2 linked regions of the Arabidopsis thaliana genome follow. The protein of the gene in region 2 interacts with the protein of the main gene of each other region in a pairwise test. Each region holds a gene or a part of one and is shown on either strand. Other genes may lie near its edges.

What was found.
Region 1: the proteins of AT3G44610 (region 2) and ERF6 interact in a two-hybrid assay, tested with the Arabidopsis thaliana proteins (one large-scale study listed by BioGRID).

What each region holds. Positions count from the first base shown.
Region 1 is NC_003075.7:9,752,056-9,755,992, reverse strand, and holds ERF6 (ethylene responsive element binding factor 6), read left to right. Parts: upstream 1-1,831; 5' UTR 1,832-2,171; coding exon 2,172-3,020; 3' UTR 3,021-3,169; downstream 3,170-3,937.
Region 2 is NC_003074.8:16,187,455-16,194,221, reverse strand, and holds AT3G44610 (Protein kinase superfamily protein), read left to right. Parts: upstream 1-1,856; 5' UTR 1,857-2,114; coding exon 2,115-2,659; intron 2,660-4,998; coding exon 4,999-5,432; intron 5,433-5,579; coding exon 5,580-5,956; 3' UTR 5,957-6,093; downstream 6,094-6,767. Other genes in the region: AT3G44620 (protein-tyrosine phosphatase), read right to left, coding at 1-364.

The sequences.
Region 1 (3,937 bases), on a different chromosome or scaffold from region 2:
AAGGGTAGTTTACAATTTATGTCTCTTGTTGTAAAAAAAAAACATTTACGATATTTACATAATCGAACTTCTTCACTGACTTTTTTTTAAATAAAAAGAATCTAACTGACATCCTCTCTAGACTCAGTTAAACAAAGAGTCTAGAAATTAGTTTAAACTCAAATACGTAACATAAGCCTAGTTTTGGAAACATGTGGACCTCTAGGCTCTAAGTTTTCATTTGTTGTGGATTCTGGCATTTGGCTGTTTTCTAACACACAACTCTGGTGTAACGGTACCATTATCCCAGTTTAAATATGTATAATGCATGTTTATATATATATATATAAAAATTAAAGACTAATGATAAGAAGAAATCAATCAATAATTGATTTTTTAAGTACTAGATTTTTTTCTTTCAGTTTTTGACATCCTAGATTTCCAGAAAAACTTGAAAAACTATAGCTAACATGAACGAATATAGCAAACATTTTTTTTTGTAGGAACGAATTAGTAAACATGAATACTCTGTAATTATTGAGAAGTTAATTATGGATTCGTCTGGGCAATACCCATTGATATTTCCCTTGAAACAAAGATATTTGTAATAAGAACATAAGTACTGGACAGACACACAGAGCTGAACTAGACATGTAAATTATTTACAAATGTTTTAAATAAGTGAAAACGTTGATTTGAAAAATATATTAGAAGATTCATTTAAACCTACATCTAGGATAAGCCTTGAGCAATATGTTTCATATATATAGTATAAATTGTCATACTGATAGAAAATTGCATATGTGTGTGTTAGGCTTTGTAAATTAGTTTCAAGTATGAATCAATATCTATGATGAAGTAAGCACATTCGTACGAAGACGTAAAATGGATATATCACGTTCGAAAGCAGCAACCAAAGCCAAAAGTGGTCACATGGTTTGTTGTTGTAAAATATATATTTTTGGTTATAATTATTGTAGAATAATTGAGACTAGAACTTAATTAGTATTACGATTCCGCTAATTACGCAGCCCTTATCTTTCGAGACTATAACTTTAATATTACGATTCCTCTGATAGTCTAATTATGCATGCATTTTTGTGTGTTTGCGTTTTAGTTTATGTTTTATACGTAAGGTAATATCTATTCACTTACAAATGAAGCGATAAGCTTATAATTTTGTAGCTTGTACCCGTAGACACAATAAAAATGTATATTTATCGGTGTAATGTTTTACTATGTTCGGCAACATTTTAACAACACTTTAGTTTTCAGTGATTATATAACAGCTAGAAATGAACATATATATAGTGTTGATCATTGAAATAAAAACAGCTTTCTGGTCTGAGATGTATAAAACAAAAATAATGGATATTTTATCCCGAAAGATTATGTAGAGATTGGATGAACAAATTACTGGTTGAACTTGAAATTATTGGACTTTTTTTTTTTAAATGTTTTTGGGCAGCTATACGAGAATTCCATGGGTCTTTGTCCACAAAATGTTGGCGACCATACGAAAACATCGTCGACATTCGACAAAGAGAATCTAGTCTTCATAACTAAAATATTTTTAATCCAAAAACAAAAATAACATCCGACGTACGTGAAGTAAAACCAGTGTTTTTCTTCCATCAAATTTTGCAACTATCATAAGTTTTTATATAAAAACGTGTGTTTATCCAAACATTGAGTTGATACGGCCGCTAAATTTTGATATTGCAAATGCATGCATGCGAAGAATTCTCACAACGAGTAGTAAATTAATCAAATATTAACACGAAAGGTACTTTATAATAACTATTACTAAACCGTACTAATATTTTGATAAACATGAATCGATAAATTCTTGTCTAATCATCTGCCAAAGAAACCCAATATTAGAGCGCAGCCTAATTAAAATATTTGTGTTTTGTTTTTTTACCCCAGCTGCCATTGATGAACCACACGATCAAACCGTTGACGAGGGGTTTATAATCTAATCAAACGGTGTAAAACCGGTGAAACACGCGTGTACATACACCATCCCGCATTTGATAATTTTAGATTTTAAGTTTAAAAAATCCTGAGGATGTTGCCTTGAAAGAGTCTCTCATTGACTTGACTCTTTCCTATAAATACACCTTTCCACTCTCTCTTCTCCACTGTCAAATCAAATCCCTCTTCCTCTTCAATTCTCTGTTTCCTCCAAAATGGCTACACCAAACGAAGTATCAGCTCTTTTCCTCATCAAGAAGTATCTCCTCGACGAATTGTCTCCGTTGCCTACTACTGCCACCACCAATCGATGGATGAACGATTTCACGTCATTTGATCAAACCGGTTTCGAGTTTTCTGAATTTGAAACCAAACCGGAAATAATCGATCTCGTCACTCCCAAACCGGAGATTTTTGATTTCGATGTGAAATCTGAAATTCCATCTGAATCGAACGATTCCTTCACGTTCCAATCGAATCCTCCTCGCGTTACTGTTCAATCCAATCGAAAACCGCCGTTGAAGATCGCACCACCGAACCGAACCAAGTGGATTCAATTCGCAACCGGAAATCCTAAACCGGAACTTCCCGTACCGGTTGTAGCAGCAGAGGAGAAGAGGCATTACAGAGGAGTGAGGATGAGGCCGTGGGGGAAATTCGCGGCGGAGATTCGAGACCCGACTCGTCGTGGAACTCGTGTTTGGCTCGGGACGTTTGAGACGGCGATCGAAGCGGCTAGAGCTTACGACAAAGAAGCGTTTAGACTACGAGGATCAAAGGCGATTCTGAATTTCCCGCTTGAAGTTGACAAGTGGAATCCACGCGCTGAAGATGGTCGTGGCCTGTACAACAAACGGAAGAGAGACGGCGAGGAGGAGGAAGTGACGGTGGTTGAGAAAGTGCTAAAGACGGAGGAGAGTTACGACGTTAGCGGCGGCGAGAATGTTGAGTCAGGTTTGACGGCGATAGATGACTGGGATTTGACGGAGTTTCTGAGCATGCCGCTTTTATCGCCGTTATCTCCACACCCACCGTTTGGTTATCCACAATTGACCGTTGTTTGAATTCTATTTTTCTGTTTGGGTCAGCTTGTTGTATGCTGACGTGGAATTATGCTATATCTTTTGCTTATTTTATGTTCACATTCGAGCAAAATTTATTCATTCGTTTATTTGTTTTTTAATACAACTCTTGATATTTCTAAATTCTAACCAATCACCTTATTTAGCGGCTACTGAGACAAAAATCGCATGTAAAGGCGAATCAATATGGAAAGAACAGAGAACACATAACACGAAGCTCCGATCAAATGACTTTTTATCATAGAACGTATTATTTTTCAATGGCATGTAATATGCTCGGATTTATTACCGTAACATCTTTAGCAGTCTCGATTATATCCTATTTGTGACTTAATATTTGAAAGCTCCATGACTCTTTTTTTTTTGCATGTATAAACTCTGACTAATTGACTTTTATAATATCTTGTTTTCTATAGATTGTTTCATTTGATTCATTTCTCATTTGTGACTTCATTTTTGAAATATCTATAAATTTGTAATCAATAATTACAATTAATAAATTAGTTTGGCGGAAAAAGCTCTAATCTTATAATATGGGAATCACGTATATATATTACAATTTCCATATTTTTGCATGGTAATATCTATGACTCTTTTCCTTCTTTTTTTTTTCTTTCTTTAAAACAAAAATGCTATGGTTCTTTTTGCATGGTAAAAGCTTTCCATTTTGATTTTTATACCATCGCCTATACGTCGATCCTTAAGAGTTTCTCTCATCCAATCTTAGACTTTTATACCACAAATCAACTTTTCCCTATATACCACTGCTTACGTTAAGTCATTAATACAGCTAATAGATTATTTAGATAACTTTAATAATCTCTTGTGTGTAAAACTGAATTTTGGTTCTTTGTTTATCTTTTTAGAAATCCGAATCATATCTATATTTACGGATGTGA
Region 2 (6,767 bases):
CGTGATAATCAATTGTTCCAGCGGAATCAATGTTGAATTTGGAATCGAGACCTCTCTTCTTCACGATATCTCTAAAGACACCTTCAGCCGCTGGGCTGCGACAAATGTTTCCGAGACAGACAAAAAGAACAGAGTAAGGTTTGGTTTCGCTGCTCTGCGTCGGAGGAGGAGTCGCCATTGAAGATGATACAAAGCACCTAAGCGAATGAGAAATTCTGGGTTTTGCTCGGATGATAGAAACGAGATTCGGGTTTTTATCAGATGATCGGAAATGAGAAGGACGAAATTGTCTAGTGTAGTGGCAAAATGGTAAATATGAAGGGATTGTTAGAGAAGCCGTGAGGTTGGGACAGTACATCATCATTCCCCTGAAAAGTTGGAGATTTGGGATATACGAGTTTTCTTCTTCTGCTCTTTGAACTCCTTTTCCGTAATAAGCAAAGTAATAGAGGGGTATAATTGGGAATATACATAAACAATTGTTGGATTAGGAGTAGAAGAAGATGTTAGATTTTAGAGACGAGGCTAATGCTAGAAGACCAATTTTGTTAATGTATTGTTGTATTGTGTTGAAGGTACTGAGGAGAACATTATGGTCGGTAATGCAAATAATTTTGTGTAAATTCACAGAAATATTTTTGTTTTGGCCGGCGATGTTTAACTTTCATGTTGTGTTGTAACTTCTATGACAAGTTAAGGGCCTTTTTATCCATGAGAAACCCACAAAGTTTCTCAAACAAACAAAAAATTAATATTATATTATAATTTGATTTTTTGATTAAAAAAATATTTTTGTTAAAAAGTTGAACCAATAATGAGAAGAGAATTATCATGATGGGTTGTAAAGAGTATCTCAGAGTTTCTCAAGTGAGAAACTTTCTACACTCTTTTTCCTTCATTTTTATTATTTTTTTTTTTTAATTGTGAGAAATTCTTACAAGAAACCCCCGATGGAGATGGTCTAAGTGTCTCATGTTTCAGTACTTTGTTGATGGATAATGCGTTACTTATTGGCCCAATTGTACAGATGGTCTTTAAACTCAGGCCTAAGGTTTTCAACAGATAGCCCATTTCATTCTCCGAAAAACAGTTAGTACTTATGACGATTATTTTTTAATTCGGATATATAGTTACAATTTACAAACCTCATTGAAAAGATTTGTTTTGGTCATTGTTATGAATGTTCTAAGTTATCAATTTATTTGAACCTCTTTCACTTGTATTTTTTCGGTCTGACTAGAAAATATCCGGTTTAAGACGAGTGTTACAAATTGGTAATATATCCAGGGCCGGACTTAACAAAACCGGTTTCGACCCAAGCAATTTGTCTTTCAATGATATGGTTATAGACACTTTCCTTATCCAACCTAAAATGTTTCTGCTGATTTCATTAATGAGAAAATACAAGGGTTATATACACTTTCCTTATCTAACATATTCACCCGAGTCAAACCGGTTAGGTATATGCAATTGAGTTAAACCAATATCTAAACCATAATGGTTTCAAAGGAAATGAAAACGAGGCCGAGCGACCAGTCGACCACTAACCTGAGGTTCGTGCAATAGGGATTTGAGTTCACGATACAAATTGTTCACCAATAACACCATCCTTGTACTTGGTGACATAATATTCAAAAGACAGTGATTAGATATTTATTTATAATTGTACCATACGAAGAAAATACTAGTAATCACAACTGAAATAGAACAAACACAAGATATGTATATGTCATTATCTTAATTCTGTAGGGGCCTAGATTTATATGTCTCTTTGTTTCTCTCTTTTGAAACAAATCCTATACCAAAGATCTTAAAAATTCATAGAGAAATCAAAAATCCCTCTCAAATAATTCCCTAATTATTGTCTATTTACATAAATAAAACATCTCAATTATAGAATACTGTATCATCATCTCCTTAACAATCGAACTATTACCTTAAATTACGAAACGCACCATATCTCAACCCTTAAATTACAACTTTGCCATCTTCTTTTGATTCTATTTTTTCTCTTCCCCAAAAAGGCAAAATCTCACAGTTACTTCTCTCTTTCTCTCCCTCTCTTCTTCTTCTTCTTCTTCTCTCTCTCGTCGTCACTCTCAGTAGATCGGAAAATGGAGCCATGGATTGACGAATTAACCGACGACTTACAGAGTGTAAGCTTTACATCAGCCGGAACCACCGTGAATCGAAGCACAAGCTCCGGTTCTCGCTCTTCCTCCTCCGCCGCAGCTTTAACACCAGCACCATCAGCTCACGGTTCATTCTCATCTTCGAAACTCCCTCCTTCACTCCGATCATCTCTCTCACTCTCCGATCTCAGATTCCGTCTCCGTCTCGGTTCCGGCGACATCGGCTCTGTTTTCTTAGCCGAATTCAAATCCCTAACCGCCGTAACAGAAACCACCGCCGTTAAATTACCTCTGTTAGCAGCGAAAGTTATGGATAAAAAGGAGCTCGCGAGCAGAAGCAAAGAAGGTAGAGCTAAGACGGAGAGAGAGATTCTCGAATCTCTTGATCATCCGTTTCTTCCGACGCTTTACGCCGCCATTGATTCTCCGAAATGGCTCTGTTTATTAACGGAGTTTTGTCCCGGCGGTGACCTTCACGTTCTCCGTCAAAAACAGACTCATAAACGTTTCCATGAATCCGCCGTCAGGTAACAGTTTCCGTTAAGTTATTTATTTTTTTAAATATTCAGTTTCTAATTCAAAAAAAAATCTTTTGGGAAGTAATTATTACTATGAAGCAGTGAATAAATATAAAAGCCTGATGAAATCAGGGAAGTGGGACTCGCCAGCTGGCGAATTGTCTCGTAGTTAACACTTAAAACACACATAACTGAATTTAATGGCACCGTTAATTAATCACTAGTACTAGATTTATTGCCTTTTTAACGGTAATTACATCGTAATTATAGTAACGAGATTTAGTTTCCGTAATTTCTTCTGAATTTTTGGCAGTTTTCAGTAACCTTAACTTATATAATTGAAATGAATTTTTCCAGATTTGTTATTGGAATATATGTTTTTATTGATTGATGTGCACGATAGTGTAGTGTATTTTTAGATAGACTAGAAAAGTCTATATACGCCACATGAAAAGGGACTAGAAAGTGTAATTTAGTTATTAATTAAAACTATAAAGTGGCGATTTATTTATAATATATAGTTTTTAACGGCAATTATGCACTAATTATATCACAGGCCCGTTAAGTTTGTTACTTGTAATAATAATACGCCACACAAAAAGGGACTAGAAAGTGTATATTATAAAACCATAAAGTGACGATTTATTTATAATATATACTTTTTAACGGCAATTATGCACTAATTATATCATAGGCCCGTTAAGTTTGTTACTTGTAATAATAATAATCCTAGTGAAAATCACACACAATCGAGGTTTAATTTCCGTAATTTAATCCGAATTTTTGGTATTTTTCACCAATAACTATATATTATTCATTGATGTGCTCGATAAATGCTTTTGTTTTATAAACTAGGAAAAGTCTATTTACGCTACACGAGAAAAGGGACTAAAAAGTATATTTTAAATAAAACCATTTGTATAAGATATGGTTTTTATTTTATTTTTATTTTTGTAAGCAGATGTATGCACGATTAACAAAAGTTGTGTGTGCATCTTACTTACATGTGTGGGCATATCGTAGGCCATAACGATTAATAAAAAGTCAAAACGAGTGGGGTTTGACTTTGAAATAATAACAAATCACTCAGAGACACGTGTAAGTCTTGTAGTGGTACTCCGCGTGATTGAATTAAAATCACGTAGCATGCCATTGAAGTTGAAAATTAATATTTTTTTGTAATCGGGCATGTGGTTACAGTACAAACAACATCCCAGCTAAGCTTGTTCTTATTTACAATTGTGCCAAGCTTGTTCTTCATAACAATATTTACAATTGTGCCATTCCTTATTAATTGGTTGGTCCTACAATTAGGAGGAAATTTTTGGAAAAATTATGAAATATTATTAACCTGTTTTGAAAAGTAGCTGTGGCTTCGAATTGAAGTAGCTGAAGTTATATCATTTGTTAGTTGAGTTAGCCACTTTTATAACCATTTATGGACCAATTTGTATCACGTGGTAAGTACTTGAAAACCGGATCTTGTTGTTTTTGGTTGATGTTAAATCTGATTTATTTGTGTTCTTAAGTTATTGTCAGATTGACATAGTAGTAGTGGTTTACACGTTAAAGATCCTACAAGTGAAGTCAAGGTCATTACCATTTGAGCATTTTTGCTTCACTCTCGCGACTTGTATCTGTGTGTTTTACTCATGAGCAGGACTTAGTTTTTATAAGGTTTCTTCTTTAGTATTAAAGTAAAATGATTTAGAATTGGGACCAAAACATGTATTGTAGGGATTCCTTAATATATATCTTCTTTTTTTAAGGTTGTCCTACAAAAAAGGTCCCCATTTCTCTCCACTTAGCTGCATTTTTTCATATAGAATGGGTTACTTCCTTTGAACTCATTTAGATTCTGATTTTTCTTTAAATGATATAGAGAACAATGGCTCTACGGAAATTCATACATGAACCGAATAAGATTGTGTGAACTTGTTCTTAGAATTCGTCTGTTGTACACTATGACTCTGTTTTGTGTGGAGTATGTTTGTTGATTGTGGACCCGTGAAGACAAAAAGGGTCAGCTAGAGGAATCTTGGATAATGTCTTAGCACCAGAATTCTCTATTAGACAAAAGAGTTCGTTAAGCCAACCAACCTTCGTAGGTCCTCTTTTGTTCCTTATGTATAGTGACATCAAACCCAAAACATCATCTTCTTGTCTCCAAATCCAAACAAATGCTGTTTTGTCACAACACCTAAAACTGTAAACCAATAATTCCAAAACAAACTCTTGTTAAATTATTGTAAAATCTCAATTATTCGTTTTGTCCTCACTACCATGTTTTCTTCTCTTTGTCCCTTCTTTTCAGATTACTAATCAACATCTCTTTACTATTTTTTCAGATTCTATGTATCGGAAGTGATCGTAGCGATTGAATATCTTCACATGTTGGGGATTGTGTACCGCGATTTGAAGCCTGAGAACGTGCTGGTTCGATCAGATGGTCACATCATGTTAACTGATTTTGATCTCTCCTTAAAATGTGATGAATCGACTTCCACACCACAGATAGTGCTGAACCGGAACAATCTTCCTAATGGCTCGTCTGACCAGAACGAGAACCAAGGCATGGACCACCGTCAAACCACATCATCCTCTTGCATGATCCCTAACTGTATTGTCCCTGCTGTCTCTTGCTTCCACCCGAGAATCCGAAGGCGTAAGAAGAAAACTGATCACCGTAACAACGGTCCTGAGCTTGTGGCTGAACCTGTAGATGTCCGGTCCATGTCATTCGTTGGGACGCATGAGTACTTGGCTCCTGAGATTGTTTCAGGTATTCTTCAAATCTTCCTCATTCTCATTTCCCCTGTTTCGATTTGAATGATTTTTATGTCAAACGTTTTTCTTCTTAGGGAAGTTTATATAATGTATAATTTTCCGATGTGGTATCCTAACATGAAACGTAAAATGTGGATGGCAGGAGAAGGACATGGTAGTGCAGTGGACTGGTGGACATTAGGGATATTCATGTTCGAGCTGTTCTACGGAACAACACCGTTCAAAGGAATGGACCACGAGCTAACCCTTGCCAATATCGTGGCTCGAGCACTCGAATTCCCGAAAGAACCAACGATTCCAAGCGCGGCCAAGGATCTGATCTCTCAGCTACTTGCCAAGGATCCTAGCCGACGGTTAGGGTCATCTCTAGGTGCAACGGCCGTGAAACGTCATCCATTTTTCCAAGGAGTGAATTGGGCATTGCTCATGTGTACTCGTCCTCCTTTTCTTCCTCCGCCTTTCCGCAAAGAACTTTTGTCAGATGACATTTGTCCGGAAACCCATGTCGACTATTATTAATAACTTAATTAGCGCTACGTAATTAATTAATTTTCTTCAGATATAATTATTTCTAAGAAACAAAATCAGCCTAATACTAGTATAGTTGCACTTTATGAAGAAAAAAAGCTTAGTATAAATGCATTTAATTAACGTTTAGATGTTCTTTTTGTAAGTTCTTCAAAACTAGTATAATTGAAGGAAAATAACTTGCTAAATTATTAATGTCAGCTGCAAAAAAAAAACAAAAAAACAAACAATATACGAAACACAAATTCAAAACTAATGCAAACCCTGCTGGACTTGGCGACATAATAATAATAATATACACGAAGCATCTCAGCCATTTATTGTAAGACCATCTCCATCAATAAAAATAAGGAAAGTTTCTAAAAAAAAAAAATAATAATATTTTAATCAAAACAGATATATTAATTATTATTTAATAGTTAAACTAATAATATGATGACACCTGTCCAAATTGGATGAGAATAGTTTCTCAAAGTTTCTCCTCCGAAAAACTTAACTCTCCTTCTCTTCTACTTTTTTTCATCTCTCTCGTACTTTTTTTTTTTAAATTTTTTTTGTTTTGTTGGGTATCTCATTGAAATACTTCCAATGGAGATGCTCTAAGTGTTTTGTTTAACAAAGCGCTAAACGGACGGAGATTTAATATTTAGCGCATTGAACGTTTTATCGGAATTTAAACAATTTTAAGCGGTTAAAACATATATTTATAGTATAAATATGATTTTATACCTAAATATTATGTAAAATATCTGAAAGTTTTTTTGTTAAAATGTAAACAAAAATTAGATAAAATATTTATTTA